Linked DNA regions of Danio rerio. The protein of the gene in region 1 interacts with the protein of each later gene in a pairwise test. Links are inferred from orthologs where the notes say so. Each region holds a gene or a part of one and is shown in the gene's direction. Other genes may lie near its edges.

The links.
Region 2: the proteins of phf1 (region 1) and tfcp2 interact in binary tests that used the Homo sapiens proteins (3 or more experiments, as listed by UniProt). The two-hybrid records come from large-scale screens. The link is inferred for Danio rerio from reciprocal best matches to the Homo sapiens genes PHF1 and TFCP2.

What each region holds. Positions count from the first base shown.
Region 1 is NC_133191.1:49,885,334-49,893,762, forward strand, and holds the start of phf1 (PHD finger protein 1), read left to right. Parts: upstream 1-2,972; 5' UTR 2,973-3,290; intron 3,291-3,663; 5' UTR 3,664-3,664; coding exon 3,665-3,742; intron 3,743-3,868; coding exon 3,869-3,950; intron 3,951-8,429. UniProt on the Homo sapiens protein: Polycomb group (PcG) that specifically binds histone H3 trimethylated at 'Lys-36' (H3K36me3) and recruits the PRC2 complex. Involved in DNA damage response and is recruited at double-strand breaks (DSBs).
Region 2 is NC_133198.1:36,622,323-36,630,209, reverse strand, and holds part of tfcp2 (alpha-globin transcription factor CP2), read left to right. Parts: intron 1-1,586; coding exon 1,587-1,641; intron 1,642-4,318; coding exon 4,319-4,360; intron 4,361-4,612; coding exon 4,613-4,706; intron 4,707-4,943; coding exon 4,944-5,034; intron 5,035-7,145; coding exon 7,146-7,252; intron 7,253-7,887.

The sequences.
Region 1 (8,429 bases):
CCAAAATCTGCTTTCAGGATAAAAAAGACACGCCAGGGGCCATTTTGAACATTCCAGCACTACTGTTCTCGTAATAGGAGTCTTACAGTGTTGTGCTTGATATCTCAAGATTTTGGCTAGATTTCACCTACCGTGTGTGCGCGCGCTGCTTGTGTGGGTGTTGTAACACAATTACACACTTCAAAGTTTGTCTTCAAGATGATGAAAATGTAAAGCAAAAGATATTTAGATGGTTATTTCGCCTGCATACTGGAAAAAAGTTATAGAAGTGCATTGATAATATAGTTTTAGTATAAGTATGTGATTAATAAAGATGTAATAAAGGTGTAATAATTAATAAAGGTGTAATAAAACCTTTATTAATATAAATGTGTAATTAATAAAGGTGGGTTAAAACCTTTATTAATATTAATGGGTAATTAATAAATTTGTAATACAACCTTTGTTATTGTAAATGTGTAATTAATAAAGGTGTAATAAAATCTTTAATATTATTAATGTGTAATTAATAAAGTTGTAATAAAACCTTTATTAATATTAATGTGTAATTAATAAAGGTGGGTTTAAACCTTTATTAATATTAATGTGTAATTAATAAAGTTGTAATAAAACCTTTATTAATATTAATGTGTAGTTAATAAAGGTGGGTTTAAACCTTTATTAATATTAATGTGTAATTAATAAAGTTGTAATACAGCCTTTGTTATTGTTAATGTGTAATTAATAAAGTTGTAATAAAATCTTTATTAATATTAATGTGTAATTAATAAAGGTTTAAGCCAAAATAAATTGTTATTTTTATTGTAGTTAGATTATTTACAACAATATTGATTGTTAGATTGATTACAACAATAGATGTTGTTGTATAACTACAAATGAGAGGAAGTATGTGTGTATACAATAAATAATACACACATAGTACTCAGCATATATAAGTACACTCCTCACAAATCCTTCATTCATTTATTTTTGGCTTTGTCCCTTTATTAATCTGGGGTTGCCACAGCGGAATGAACCGCCAACTTATCCAGCATATGTTTTACGCAGCAGATGCCTTTTCAGCTGCAACCCATCACTGGGAAACATTCATATACACTCACTCTCACACACACACACACACACACACACACACACACACACACACACACACACACACACACACACACACACACACACACACACTCATACACTGTACCACAGGTCTTTTGGACATGCCCCTCACAGATCTTTTAAATTCATATTTTGAACAGGAAGCTATGCAATATTATATTTGTGCATATGATATACACTCTCGGAAATAAAGGTACAAGAGCTGTCACTGGGGTGGTACCTTTTCAAAAGGTACACATTTGTACTTGAAGGGTCCATATTGGTACCTTAAAAGTATTAGTACCTACAAATTTTAAGAGGAACACTTTTGTACTTTTTAGGTACTAATATGCACCGTTGAAGTATTAATATGGACCTTTAAGGTACAGATTTGTATTTTTTGTTAAGGGACCACCCCAGTGACAGCTTTTGTACCTTTATTTCTGAGAGTGTACATTACTGAAGCCAAATCTGGAGTCTATCTAACAAAATAACTTACGATAACGGTCCAAAAACTAGTACACCCAAATGTATATGTATACAAATTTAAAAGAAGAAAAATCAAAACAACAAATACAAAAAAAAAAAGTAGAGTTGAAACTTTGCAATATTTAGCTTGAATTTAATTGTATTATCTTTCAATTTCTAAATATGTTTGGTGACTAAAATATTGTTTTAATAAATATATGTTTAATAAATCTGTTTTTTTAAATGCACCAAAATAATTGCCTATATCCATTGAGAAATTAATCAAATATTATTAAATTATGCTGAGCACTGTACACTGTAAAATATGATCAATATGTCATGACAGCATATATTTTAGGTCATTGTAACTTATTAAACTAAGGTAATCATGTTCTAACTAAATTTCATAAGTTACAGAAGCTGTTTTAAGTCAGTTTAACATATAAATTCAGCGGACTCATAAGGTTAATCTGATTCAGCTTAAAAATTGAGGCAACCAGGATTTAAGATAGATAATATAATGAATAGATAGATAGTGAACACACACTATTATTATTAAAATTATTAATGATTTATTTTATTAATACATTTTTGGAAAAGCGCTAAAAAGAACTCATGTCTGAGCATTAATAACCTACTGATCTACTCAATATGAGAAATGTATATTAAATAATTTAATAAAATGTAAATTTATGTACATTATGAATAGCCAGAGTAATGTTTTTCATAAATGTATAACTTATATTGTAATAAAATATTATTAATAAACAAAATAAAATGACGGTATATAATTATATGAAAATATAAGTGTAAACATAATTTATTCAAAACTGATTAATAATGCAATCGTCATAAAGTGGTAATTTATTGTATTTTTCGATTGTTATTATTATTGTCTTGCATTACACTCATTTTTAAGTTATGATCATAATAATCCTGTAACTGCATTATCTAATATGGAATAAGAAAAATCTGTTTTCTTTTTTTGGGCGTTAGCCCTTTTTCTAATTTATGATAATAATATTGCGGTTATATTTCTTTATTTTTTATATATATAAGTCAAAACATTGTTTTTAAACTTCTTTTTCTATTCTTTTTTTGCGCGCAGCAGCTTTGCCTCTTTTTTCTTTACTTTTTTTTCCAGCCGGCACCCAAGGGCATTTTCAAACTTTCTCCAGAAAGTCCACGGCGTGGCTCTGCCGGACTAATTACCCCGTCAAACTTTCCCTAATGAGGCTGTGAGCGCGAGCGGCACCGGCCGGGCTCCTATCGCGGGCTGTAGGGGCGCAGGCGGTGGTCGTGCCGGCTTTCAGTCCGGTGGGAAGTCGGTCAGTCGCACAGATGTGAAGGTGTTCTCCGGATCTCCCTCCCTCTCCATCTCCCTGTGTTTTATGTCTGCGTCACAACAAGTCGAAGGAGAGCGAGAGAGAAAGAGAGAGAGGCAGAGATGATGATGATGGCGTCTCTCTCGGGCTGAATCTCCTGACGAGCACACGCTTGAAAGCATCAAACCGAGAGACATGAAGACGGACAGAGAGAGAGAGAGACGGACGGACGGACAGACGGTTGCGCACTGACGCGCGTTTGATCCGCCGCGACTCTCCAAAACGCGCCGATTATTCGGGACAGTGATTGAGACGCAGAACAACACCGGTCACCATCAGGCGTTTCATGTGAGACTGACATCTCTTCCCCGTCTCTGTGACCCCAGCAGAGCCGATCACTCCACACAGGTACATCCCGTGCACGTATGATCTGCCATGCGTGTTAATTGATATGTGCGTGCGCGCGCCGTCATGTGTGTCAGCTCTCCTGAGTTGCGCGCATTGATTAGTGCACATCTGGCCGCGCGTTTTGCATGCATTGTTGTGGCATCTGCATATGCATTACGGTCGGTTGCATAAAGCAGCCAGTGTTTTTTTCCCCCTTCTTTTTTCTTTTTGATCATGTGTGGCACTGCAATGTGCATTGACTCTTCATCATTTATCCTACTGTACTGTATACTGTCGCTATGCACAGAGTTTAACCCTTTAGGCTGCTGCTGTTTGCTACTTGATTTGAAAGCCTCTGGATGTTTTGTGCGCTCTTCTTTCCCGCTCTCTTCAGGATGGGGGGAGTCAGTGAAGGAGAGGATGTTTTGGCCAGGTGGAGCGATGGACTTTTATATCTCGGCAATGTCAAACGAGTAAGTTTCTCCAAGTTTGTTCGGAGGAGGGAGCCGGTGGAGAGGATGAAAAAGCAAGTTTTGAAAACTGCGACTTGTACTTGTGAAAATGAGTGTGGTGTTGTTTGGGATGTGTTCGTCTTGCAGGTGGACAGTGTCAAGCAGTGCTGTTTGATCAGATTTGAGGATAACTCTGAATTCTGGGTCCTCAGGAAAGACATCCACTCGTGTGAGTTTAAAACTCTGAATTTTAAGTCAAAAACTAAGCGTAAACATCTCGGTGAGCAGCTTGATGTCAAAACGACATCCAATAGACATCAAGTATAATGTCAAAAAACGCATTCAAATTGCAAATCGACTTGATGTCCAAATCTTGCCATCCGCTTGACATCCACACACTGATGCTCTTTGCCACCAAATTAAAAACACCAAAAGTAATATATTAAACGTTTTATTTATTTGAAAGCTTAAGAACAAAATTACAAAATTTATACTTTTAATTTTTTCCCTACCATGGGTGGATTTAACCTATAAGCGAGGTAAGCAGTTGCTTAGGGCCCCAGGGAATTAGGGGGCCCCAATCAATGTCAAGAACCCTATATTCAACATACAGTATAGCTCTCTTGTAAATTTTCTATCATTCATTCGTTTTCTTTTCGACTTAGTTCCTTTATTAGTCTGGGTTTGCCACAGCGGAATGAACCGCCAACTTATCCAGCATTTTTTACGCAGCGGATGCCCTTCCAGCTGCAACCCATCCCTGGGAAACATCCATACACACTCATTCACACACATACCCTACGGCCAATTTAGCTCACCCAATTCCCCTTTACCATGTGTCTTTGGACATGTGGGGGAGGAGCCGGCAAACACCCACATGAACTCGGGGAGAACATACAAACTCCACACAGAAATGCCGACTGACCCAGCCGAGGCTCGAAACAGCGATCTTTTTGCTGTGAGGCGAACGTGGTACCCACTTTAAAACCAGGGGCCCCCATGAATAGTGGAACGTACTGCCCATAGGTGAGGTGTGATCAGTTCAAAGACTGTCAGCCTGCCAGTGATCTGAGTAGAGCAAAAGTGAAGAACATTTTGAGAACATTTGGGGGACAAAAGTAGAAATAAGACAAACGATGGCCGAAACACCTGTCAGATGATGAGCGCTGTGAGCTTGTCAAGAGAGGATCTGTTCAAATAAATAACATTTCCCAATGAAAAGTAAAGGAACATTCATTCATTCATTTTCTTTTTGGCTTAGTCCCTTTATTAATCTGGGGTTGCCACAGCGGAATGAACTGCCAACCTATCCAGCATTTGTTTTACACTGCAGACGCCCTTCCAGCTGCAACCCATCTCTGGGAAACACCCACTTCCATTCACATACATACACTACGGACAACTTAGCTTTTTCAATTCACCTATACTACATGTTTTTGGAGGAAACCCACACGAACACGGGAAGAACATGCAAACTTCACACAGAAATGCCAACTGACCCAGCCGAGGCTCAAACTAGCAACCTTCGACAAAAATAACATTTCCCAGTGAAAAGTAATGACCGACAATTCACAAACAGCAATTATTCAAGATTATGGGAAAAATGGTGACAAGATTAGTTTGATGGATTGTGAATAAATTTTGTTTAAATGTTTTTTTAATTTGTAATAAAATCTAATCACAAAAATGGCTAATTAAATGTACTTAGTTTATTTGGTGAATTTATTGCATTTAATTTGACAATAAGAAAATAAAGTTTCCTTTAAATATTAAAATACATCAAATTTACTTTAAATATATATTTTTAACATGCTGTTTATTTATTTATTAAAAAAACTAATCTAAAGAGAATATATATATATATATATATATATATATATATATATATATATATAGAGAGAGAGAGAGAGAGAGAGAGAGAGAGAGAGAGAGAGAGAGAGAGAGAGAGAGAGAGAGAGAGAGAGAGAGAATGTTTTAAGTTTCAGTGCTTGGGCCACATACCTGGAATTGCTTAGGCCCCCAAATCACTAAGTCCACCCCTGAACCCTACAATTCATGTAAACTGCCTTGATGTCATTTTTTTATTTTTTTATATTTATAAAAATAATAATATATATAATAAATAAATAATGTAATGTTTCAAAGCTTATAAAATATTTTTATAAGCTTTGAAACATTACATTAAGTAATAATACAAATTCAAATATATGCTATATCCAGGAACATTGCAAGAATTGCAAAAACACAAATGAGAATGAAGCAAAAACATAACAGGTGTAAGGAAAAAAAGAGATTAAAAAAAGAGTATTGCAAAATACTATGAGAGAGAAAAAAAATATATACTGTTGAAGTCAGAATAATTAGCCCTTTAGAATTTTTTTCTTCTTTTTTTTAAATATTTCTCAAATGATGTTTAACAGAGCAAGACAATTTTCACAGTATGTCTGATATTTTTTCTTCTGGAAAAAGTCTTTTTTGTTTTATTTTGGCTAGAAAAAAAGCAGTTTTTTAAAACTTTTTTCAACACTGTTTTAGGGACAAAATTATTATCCCCTTTGAGCTAATTTTTTCCTTGATAATCTACAGAACAAACCTTCATTATACAATAACTTGCCTAATTACCCTAACTCGTCTAGTTTACCTAATTAACCTAGTTAAGCCTTTAAATGGCACTTTAAGCTGTATAGAAGTGTCTTGAAAAATATCTAGTGAAATATTATTTACTGTCATAATAATTGTCTGTCTAATAATTCTGACTTTAACTATATACACACACACACACACACACACACATATATATATATATATGCATACATATATATAAATAAATATAATACCTTTGGATTTGTATTATAACTTTGTATTATAATTTAGGAAAAATGTTATTCATTTAAAAGTTTTTATTAAACATTACAAAATTTACACTGGATTTTGTATTCCCGATGCATGTAAACTGCCTTGATGTCAAAACAACATCAAATTAACAATAACTTTGGTGTCAAAATACACATAAAAAAATCTTTTGACGCCAATGTTAGATGTCAATTTGTCAAGATTTTGAGATCAATTGACGTCAAATCGATTTGCATTTTGACAAGCTTTTTGATGTTATTTTAACATCAATGTTCCCGCTGGGATCCAGAATATAAGGAAAAAATATAATGCATTTGATATATATTTATTTTATATATATTTTATGCTTCACATACAGAACCCGAGATTATTTTAGGACTGTTGTTGTTTATTTCACACATTCATTCATTCATTCATTCATTCATTCATTTATTCATTCATTCATTCATTCATTCATTCATTCATTCATTTTTTTTCAGCTTAGTTCCTTATTTATCAGGGGTCGCCACAGCAAAATGAACCTCCAACTATTCCAGCACATGTTTTACACAGCGCATGCTTTTCAGCCGCAACTCAGTACTGGGAAACACCCAAACACTCTCACATTCACACACACACACTCATACACTATGGCCAATTCAGGTGATTTAACTCACCTATAGCGCATGTCTTTGGACTGTGGGGGAAACTGGTGCATCCAGAGGAAACCCACGCCAACACAGGGAGAACATGCAAACTCCACACCAAGAAATACCACAGCCTTCTTGCTGTGAGACGACGACAGTGCTAACCACTTAGCCACCATGTTGCCTATTAGTTGATAGACTTATTTTCTATTTTGCAAAATTTTGGTAATTCTCGTTGATTTTTACTTTATTTTTAAAAAAAAAAGTATATTTAATTGATCATCATTTATTTAAACGTACAATTACTGCTGTTAACACACATCAACTAACATTACACATCAACTAAAACTACTTTTAGCTCAATTAAAAACCAATTAGCTCCTTATTAATAGTTGGGTTCAAGTACTGGGTAAGATTGTGGACAGAATAAGATCATTCGTAGGGCCAGATGGAATCTGCGGACATTTTTTGCTATTTCTGCACAGAATTTTGTTAAAAATCTGCAGATTAATGCAGAATTATTTTGGTTTCATAACTAAAACCTTAATATATAAAATAAAAAGTGATACCTTTTTAACTTTTATTCAGTGTTTACAATTAGATCCACTATATTTGATAAACAAAGCAAGTCTCTCATATAATATATCTACTAAAAGACAGAACATATGACTTTACAAACTATACTGTAAATAAATCATATGAACATTTTCATATTAGCCAATAAAATTACTGAAATTAAAATAAAAACTGAATAAATATAAATTTACACTCATTTACACAAGTAAATAAACAGAATCAATAATGGGCTAAAAATCTACGGAATTCTGTGTGCACAGATTTTGTGTGGGCCTAGTTATAAGTAACAACAAACAGCCAATATTTTAATAATAAGCAGGTAATAAACTATATATTTAACAGTGGAAATTAGTACTAAAATTAAATTTACCATTTATTTACCAACATAAAAGAAAACACAGTACAAAAACCATTATGATGCATATACTAAATGCTATTAAATTATATTTTATTTGTTATATTATATTTTGCATTAATAAGATTGTTTGATGGGGGGGGGTCTGCATCTAAATATATAAAAAGGTGGTTTTGTAATGTTGTCATCATTTCATACCTATTGTAGGCTGTTTTAATCAAATGTCCCCAGAATGTGTTTACTGTTCTTATGTGTGTTTCTTTAAAGGCTAATGACCTGCTGCCCCGCCCCTTTTTCC
Region 2 (7,887 bases), on another chromosome or scaffold:
AACCGGGGTGACGGTTCATCTTCTGGCAGGACAATGAACCAACGCACACTGCTAAAATATCTATGGAGTGGCTTTACAACAACTCTGTGAATGTCCTTGAGTGGCCCAGCCAGAGTCCAGACCTAAATCCATTTAAAGATCTCTGGAGAGATCTGAAAATGGCTGTACACCATCACTTTCTATTTAACCTGATAGAGCTTGAGAGGTACTGCAAAGAAGAATGGACAAAAATTCCCAAAGACAGTGTGCCAAGCTTGTGGCAGCATATTCAAAAAGACTTGAGGCTGTAATTGCTGCCAAATGTGCATCAACAAAGTATTGAGCAAAGGCTGAAAATACTTATGTACATGTGATTTTCCAGGTCTTTTTATTTTTAATAAGTTTGCAACACTTTCACATTGTCATTATGGGGTATTGTGTGTAGAATGAATGTTCCTAAAAACCCTAAACTACTCCTTAATACAACTGGTTTGTAAATAGTGCGATACTTAATTTAGTAATAAAAACAAATCATTAACTAAGTATGAAATTGCACATTTTAAATGTTTGTAAGTCAAGAATAGAGCATTTGTAGCTGCAGTTATAAACCGCTTACTAACGTCCATTAATGTGGAGTTAAAGGCTGATTTATACATCTGCGTCAAACGTCGGCGTATGCTACGGCGCTGATGCATAGCCCTTCACCGTGGCCATCGCCGTCACTGACGTGCACCTCTCAAAAAATTTAACTACACGTCGCAACGACGCGTAGCGTAAGCTCTGTGATTGGTCGGCTTGGTAGCGCTGACGAGTCTGGGCGGGACCGAGAGCCGCGCGAATTGCGCGAGCGATTGCTTACAAGTGTGGAGTCCCGTGAAGGAGCTCCGGATGGAAAGTTTTGTTTTGTGTTTACCTCATAGTTAAAGTTGTTGCACGTCCGCCGGTTCCTGCCTCAAAATGAGCGAGTTTGAGCCACTTGTACATCCCGGAAGTGTTCAGGAAAAGCAAAAAAGCAGAGAAGAAACTCGACACAGAGGAACATTTACACCTCACTGCCAACTAGCGTTTCGGAAGTGTTAATGCAGACCGACAGAGACAGCGCGCAGAAGTATAAATGCACAGCCACGCGCGTTGCCTGCGCCGTGGGTTACGCCGGTCACCTGACGCAGAAGTATAAATCAGGCTTAATGCTTAACAAATAATGAATTCACTAGATGCTAATGCTTAGTATATGATTCATAGTGTGCAGTTATTATAAAGTGTTACCCAATATTTCACTTGGTCCAAGATTTTTTTTTATATTTGAACTAGAAACTAGACAAAACAAAGTAAGAAAAGCAATTTTTGCTTCGTGGTTATTCGATTTCTGTAACCGAAAACTCTTAGACTCCCTAGAAAACCATCAGATAGAGCTATTGTGTGAAGCTGCATTAATAACGTATTTATCGCAGAAAAATAAAATACCGTAATATCCGATCTTTCCAGTATCATGCAGCCCTGGTTATAGATCGTTTTATAGACTATGAAAACATTTATCTTTTTTGGAGCAACATGCAATAATTAAATGTTTATGTATGGCCATAATGACTCATAGTTTTGTCTTGCAGAAATGGTTCACCCAGTCACCAGCCAGAGCCTGTCGCACAGTTAGCGGATGTGAGTGTATGTGTATTTTTTTTCTTCCTCTCTCATATCTGATATCCACTGCTCACAGTGGCATAAAATAACAATCATTTAACAAATGTATGTACATTGAGAAATGAAAGGCAAACTGCCTAGGACTTTAACCAAAATATAGATGCATCCCAGTGTTCCCTTATGTTTCTTTTCCTACATTTCTGCATTCTACATGCTATCCTTTAATTTAAATATTATGTTTGTGCTTCTTATCTGTGTTCCATTTGCATTTGTGTTTGATTTAGTTCATATTTAATAATACTGGCTTCACTCGTTAAGTAGTTGAGCTGTTTTGGGAATGAAATGGTAATTAGGTGTAGTGCTGTGTGTGTATTTGTGTATAAGGTATGCTCCATGCTTCCATCTACATTAATAATATCAGGACAACTACAGTAGTTCATCAAAAACCCTTTGTTCCATTCATAATATGGCAGCTGCTATGATTAATTCTGTAGAATGCTTTTTTGGTTGCTTTGCATGCTCATTAGCACATTTCAAAGCATGTAGTGCCCTTTGTAGCTTTTGTTAGAACTAATAGTATATAATACATAGGGCAAAATGGGTGGTATGTTAAGTATTAGGACATATATTAATTTTGTTATATTTTTCTTTCTTTTTTGTTTTGTTATCTGCATGCCACAGATATACCATGGCATTGCATTTTCTATCGTTACACAGTGTGTATGTATATATATATATATATATATATATATATATATATGTATATGTAAATATATATATATATATATATATATATATATATATATATGTATATGTAAATATATATATATATATATATATATATATATCACACTACACTGCCCAAGTCCTTAAATATTTAGTTAAATATTATTCTACTGTTTCAAAGGTTTGGGTTTTCATGTGTTTTTAAAAGAATAATAATTATATTTATTCAGAAACGATGTATCAATGGAATTAAATGCGACCAATAACGTTATAAAAGATTTCTATTTGAAATAAATGCTGTTCTTTTCAACTTTTTGGCAAAACAACACATCACAGTTTACGCTAAGCTAATAAACTTCACAGCAGCTTTTTTTAGTGATAATAAAATGTTAAAAAAGGCAGCATGGTGGCTCTGTGGTTAGCACTGTTGCTTCACAGCAAAATGGTTGCTGGTTAGGGTCACAGCTGGGTCTGTTGGCATTTCTGTGTGGAGTTTGCATGTTTTCCCCGTGTTGGCGTGGGTTTCCTCCAGGTTCTCTGGTTATCCCCACAGTCCAAGAACATGCGCTATACAGTAGGTGAATTGGGTAAGCTAAATTGGCATAGTATGTGAACAGGGTGTCCACGAGGTCTTATACTCTTAAAATGTCTTTAATATTTTGTTGTAGCTTTTAAATAATGTTAAAAAGGTCTTTAACATTTCCTATGTCCAAGTAAAGCTACCCAATCACCAATAATCCATCTCAAAATTTATATATATTTGTTTTTATTGCAAAGAGATACAAATCACAACAGCTGTTATACATGTTTACTGCAAATTCTCCTAATTTAATTCCATAAGCAGTGAAAGAAAACTAAAGCAACACATTCCTTAACAAAATCTTCCATTAATACAAAAACTATTTACTGAAGGGCCATTAGAAAAAAATAATCTTAGTCTTTAGCCCTGTATAAGTGTAAAATTTCATTCATAATGGTCCTAAAAGGGTCTTAAAAAGTTTTACATTTGACTTAAAGAAGCCTGCAGAAACCCTAGTGAGAGTGTATGGGTGTTTTCCAGTACTGGGGTTATGTCTGGAAGGGTATCCGCTGCGTAAAATCATATACCGGCATATGCTGGTACATTAGTTGGTGATTCATTCCATTGTGGCAACCCCTGATAAATAATGGACTTTTAGAATGACAATTATAAAAATGTTTTTTTGAGCACCAAATTAGACTTCTTCCTGAAGCATTTTGTTAGACAACAGTAGAGCAATGATGCAAAAATGCCTAATTCTAAGCTTTCATATCACAGTTTGCCATTAAAATTGTATTAAAAACAGTTATTGATCAAATTGCCATCATAATTAAAAGTGCAATTATGATGAGGATAACAAATGTCTTTAAAATATTTAAAAAAACCCAAACTTTTGAACAGTAGTGTGTATAAAGGGAACAGATTAGATGTAAAAACCCTTAAATGAACCTGATCTAGAGCAATTGATTGGTTTAGCATATTTTTTTCTTTAGCAAATATATTTGATATCATTTGATATGATTTTTTTCATGCCTCCTTATGCTTGTTTGTTGAAACTGACTTAAAATAGCTTAAAAATGAGATTATTTTATGTTAGCTTGTTGACCAGGGGTGTCAAAACTCAATCCTGCATTGCCGGTGTCCTGCAAAGTTTAGTTCTAATCTCAATCAGACACACCTGGGCTAGCTAATCAAACTCTTACTAGGCTTTCTAGAAACATCATTGCAGGTATGTTGGGGCAAGATGGAGCTAAAATCTGAAGGACACTAGCCCACCAGGACTGAGTTTGAGAACCCCTGTTCTAGATTGATGTTATGAGGTTTCAGCCCAGTGTTGTTTTTGTTTGTTCGTAACCTGTAAGCCCCGTTAGTCACCAGTCATGCTTCCTCATAACAAATTGATAACACTCAAGACAAATCTGAGATTTTAAAACTGAGAGACGTTCTGCCTTACAGTTGTCGTGCCATCTACTTAGAAGAGAAAGTGAAAGCAATCAGGTACATGAATTTATTTGCTAATATGAATATGTTGAATTGTGTATGTGCCAAAGGTAAAGCTTGGTGTGCAAAAGATTTCAAGTTTTATTCTTAAACATGGAAGTGGGTTCAACTCAAGGCCAGACAGTTTAAGGGGCTTTGATTGACTTCATTGGAGGGATTGTTCAATGGAAAAGGAGACAAATTATGATCCGTTTATGGTCAGTGTGCTAAGGCCTATTCTGTCCTTTCTTTTTGCCCCTGAACAAACAGAATCTGTTGCCCACGGCAACGCCACAAGAAGCACAGCAGTGGCTCCATAGAAACCGTTTTTCACCATTCTGCCGTCTCTTCACAAACTTCTCGGGTAAAGGGACGATCGGGCTTGCATAAGTGTGCATCACATCCCATACAGCTCTCACATCAGGCTTTGCTCACTCAGCTACCATACAGTGCCACATCACACTCATTAAGAAGACACATGCTCTCCAGTCTCATTCTGTTATCATAATGTGCTCAGAAAGTAATGTACTATATTCCATATTACCTTTAGTGTGGTCTGAAAAAGTCCTAGTGCGAGTGTGGTGACTGTCCTGTTCCTCAGGGGCTGATCTGCTAAAACTGACCCGAGAGGACGTCATTCAGATCTGTGGACCTGCTGATGGCATTCGGCTATTTAATGCACTTAAAGGACGGTAAGAGTTTGTCATCATACACGCCATATTTATACGTCAATAAAAAATGTAGATTATTGAAAAGAGAGAAGGATTTTGTCTGAAATTACTGTATTAAAAATACAGTAAAAACGGCAATATTAAGTTATGTTAACTTGTATTAATTGTTTATAAGTTGTATTTGTTTTTAATTTTCAGCAAATAATTCTAGCTTTATTTTCAAATTATCTTTCAGAAATCACTGTGTTGATTTGGTCCGTAGGAAACACCATATAATCTTAATTTTTAAAGAATAAAAAAATAATAATAAATAAATAAATAAATAAAACAGGCAGCGACTAAACTGTTACAACATACAGTTGATGTCAGAATTATTAGCCCCCTTTGAATTTTCTTTTCTTTCCCAAAATATTTCCCAAATTATGTTTAACAGAGCAAGGAAATTTTTACAGGATGTCTGATAATATTTTTTCCTCTGGAGAAAATGTTATTTGTTTTAAACTTATCAACTTATTAGTTGCTGTTCGGCTAGAATAAAAGAAATTATTATTTAAAAAATAAACATTTTAAGGTCAAATTATTAGCCCCTTTAAGCTATATTAGTTTTCGATAGTCTACAGAATAAACCATCGTTGTACAATAACTTGCCTAATTATCGTAACCTGCCTAGTTAAGCTAACTATTGTAGGTTAGCCTTTAAATGTCGCTTCAAGCTGTATAGAAGTGTCTTGAAAAATATCTAGTTAAATATTATTTACTGTCATCATGGCAAAGATAAAATAAATCAGTTAGTCGACTTGAGTTTTTAAAATTGTTATGTTTAGAAATGTTGAAAAAAAATCTTCTCTTTGTTAAACAGAAATTGGAGGAAAAAAAACGAGCTAATATTTCTGACTTCAACTATTCCTGTAGATTAGAATTGCTTTGAATCTTACCAGCAATGCTGCTTTGTTAACGATTAAAAAAAGAATTACACAGTACAATACTGTAAATGCATATACAGCAAGTTAATGGTGCTGAAAATGTGAATACCGTATTTTTACTGTAACTGATTTATAGTAAGTTACTGGCGAACTGCTGTCAGAAAGTTACTGTAGGTTCTGCAGGAAATCTTTTACTGTGTGTTGTTTACTTTGCAGTCTGAGTTGTTATGATAATTCCACATTTTACTGCATTAAACAGCGTGATGGATTGTAACGTGATAAAACACTAGCTAAAGAGGTCAATACAAGTTGCAATGTTTTTAATCAATATATATCGTAATAATCAGCCTTTAAAAATGTTTTTAACATTATATACTGTATATAAGGTAAAGCAAAGAAAAAGAAACTTAGGGACAAATGGGCAAAAATAAATATTTCTGTTAGGCTTTAATTGCTGCTTTCTTGTTAAAGTAATTTTGTCACTTTTTAAATTCATTTTTTTTTTTTTTTTTATATGTTCATTTTTTTCAGTAATCATTTGTTGGTTTGATGCTTAGGAAACAATATAAAATCTTAATCTTTAAATAATAAAAAAGCTTTAAAAACTTTAGCCTTGAAAGTTTTTTATTTGAAATATGTTTGTAACAGTCTAAGTGTTATACAGTGCTCAGCATATATAAGTACACCCCTCATGAATCTCTCTTTTAAATTAATATTTTTAAGAGAAAACTTTACAAAATTTTATTTGTTCAAATAGATTTGTCTTTACTGAAGCCAAATCTGGAGCTTATCTAACAAAATAACTTGCGAAAACGGTCCAAAAGTTAGTACACCCAAATTTATATGTTATCTAAAAGTATTAAATGCAAATTTAAAAAAAAGAGAGAAAAAAAAAACAAGAGAAGCATAAATAAATAAATAAATGAATAATTGGAAAAATGTAGTTACATTTTTTTAAATGTAGCAATATTTTGCTTGAATTTAATTGTATTATCTTTTGATTTCTAAATATGTTTGGTGACTAAAATATTATTTTAATAAATATATCTGTTTATTCTGTTTTGTTTAAATGCACCAACAGACAATGCCTATATTCACTGAGAAATGATTACAAATATTCATTTTCAAAATGGGATATACTCCATTATGCTGAGCACTGTACCTGTCACATTTATCAGTTACATTAATTGCATTGTTTTTTCTTAATAGGGTTGTCCGTCCAAGGCTCACAATCTATGTTTGCCAGGAATCCCAACAGGCTCGTGAACAGCACCAGAAACATGAGAACGGAGACGGGACTAACAACACTTTTTTTGGTGTGTTTGAAATCAGCTGTTTCAAAATCAAATGAAATTAAATTACATTTCTGTTTAAAATTTTATTAGGTAGTCAGGATTTGATATACGTAAATTTGTAAATGTATAAAAAATAATTATTACAATATTTAATGTAGTTATTTTTTAATGTACCATTGCAACATAATTATTTAAAGCTATGAATTAAGTCAATTGTTGTTTGAATTAAATAAATGTTGGTATTTTTTTTTTGATAATGCATGGCCTGAATAAGCAAAGTAACATTTTTAAAGGGTTGAAAGCAGTGAAGTAAGGATTAAAGGTGTAATATGTTCTTCTAAATGATGCTTGGGACTTTGTAAATAAGCTCAAATCACAAAATAAATAGAACCTGTACTAATCACATGTTAGGTGCATTTAAAGTGCCTCTATTATGCAAAATGTTTGTAGGTTTACATCTATTCAAAGTCAAAAAACACTTGGTCCAGTAAAATTTTAATTTTGTAGAAGGTCGTATCAGTATGTTAGTCCAGTGACAAAACTTGTTTAGAAGATGTAAAACTGATATAAACATGTAAACCTAGTCACTTCCGCCTAAATGAATCAACGATTTTTTCACATCACCACATACTTCAGTTTCTCATTAAATCTTGACC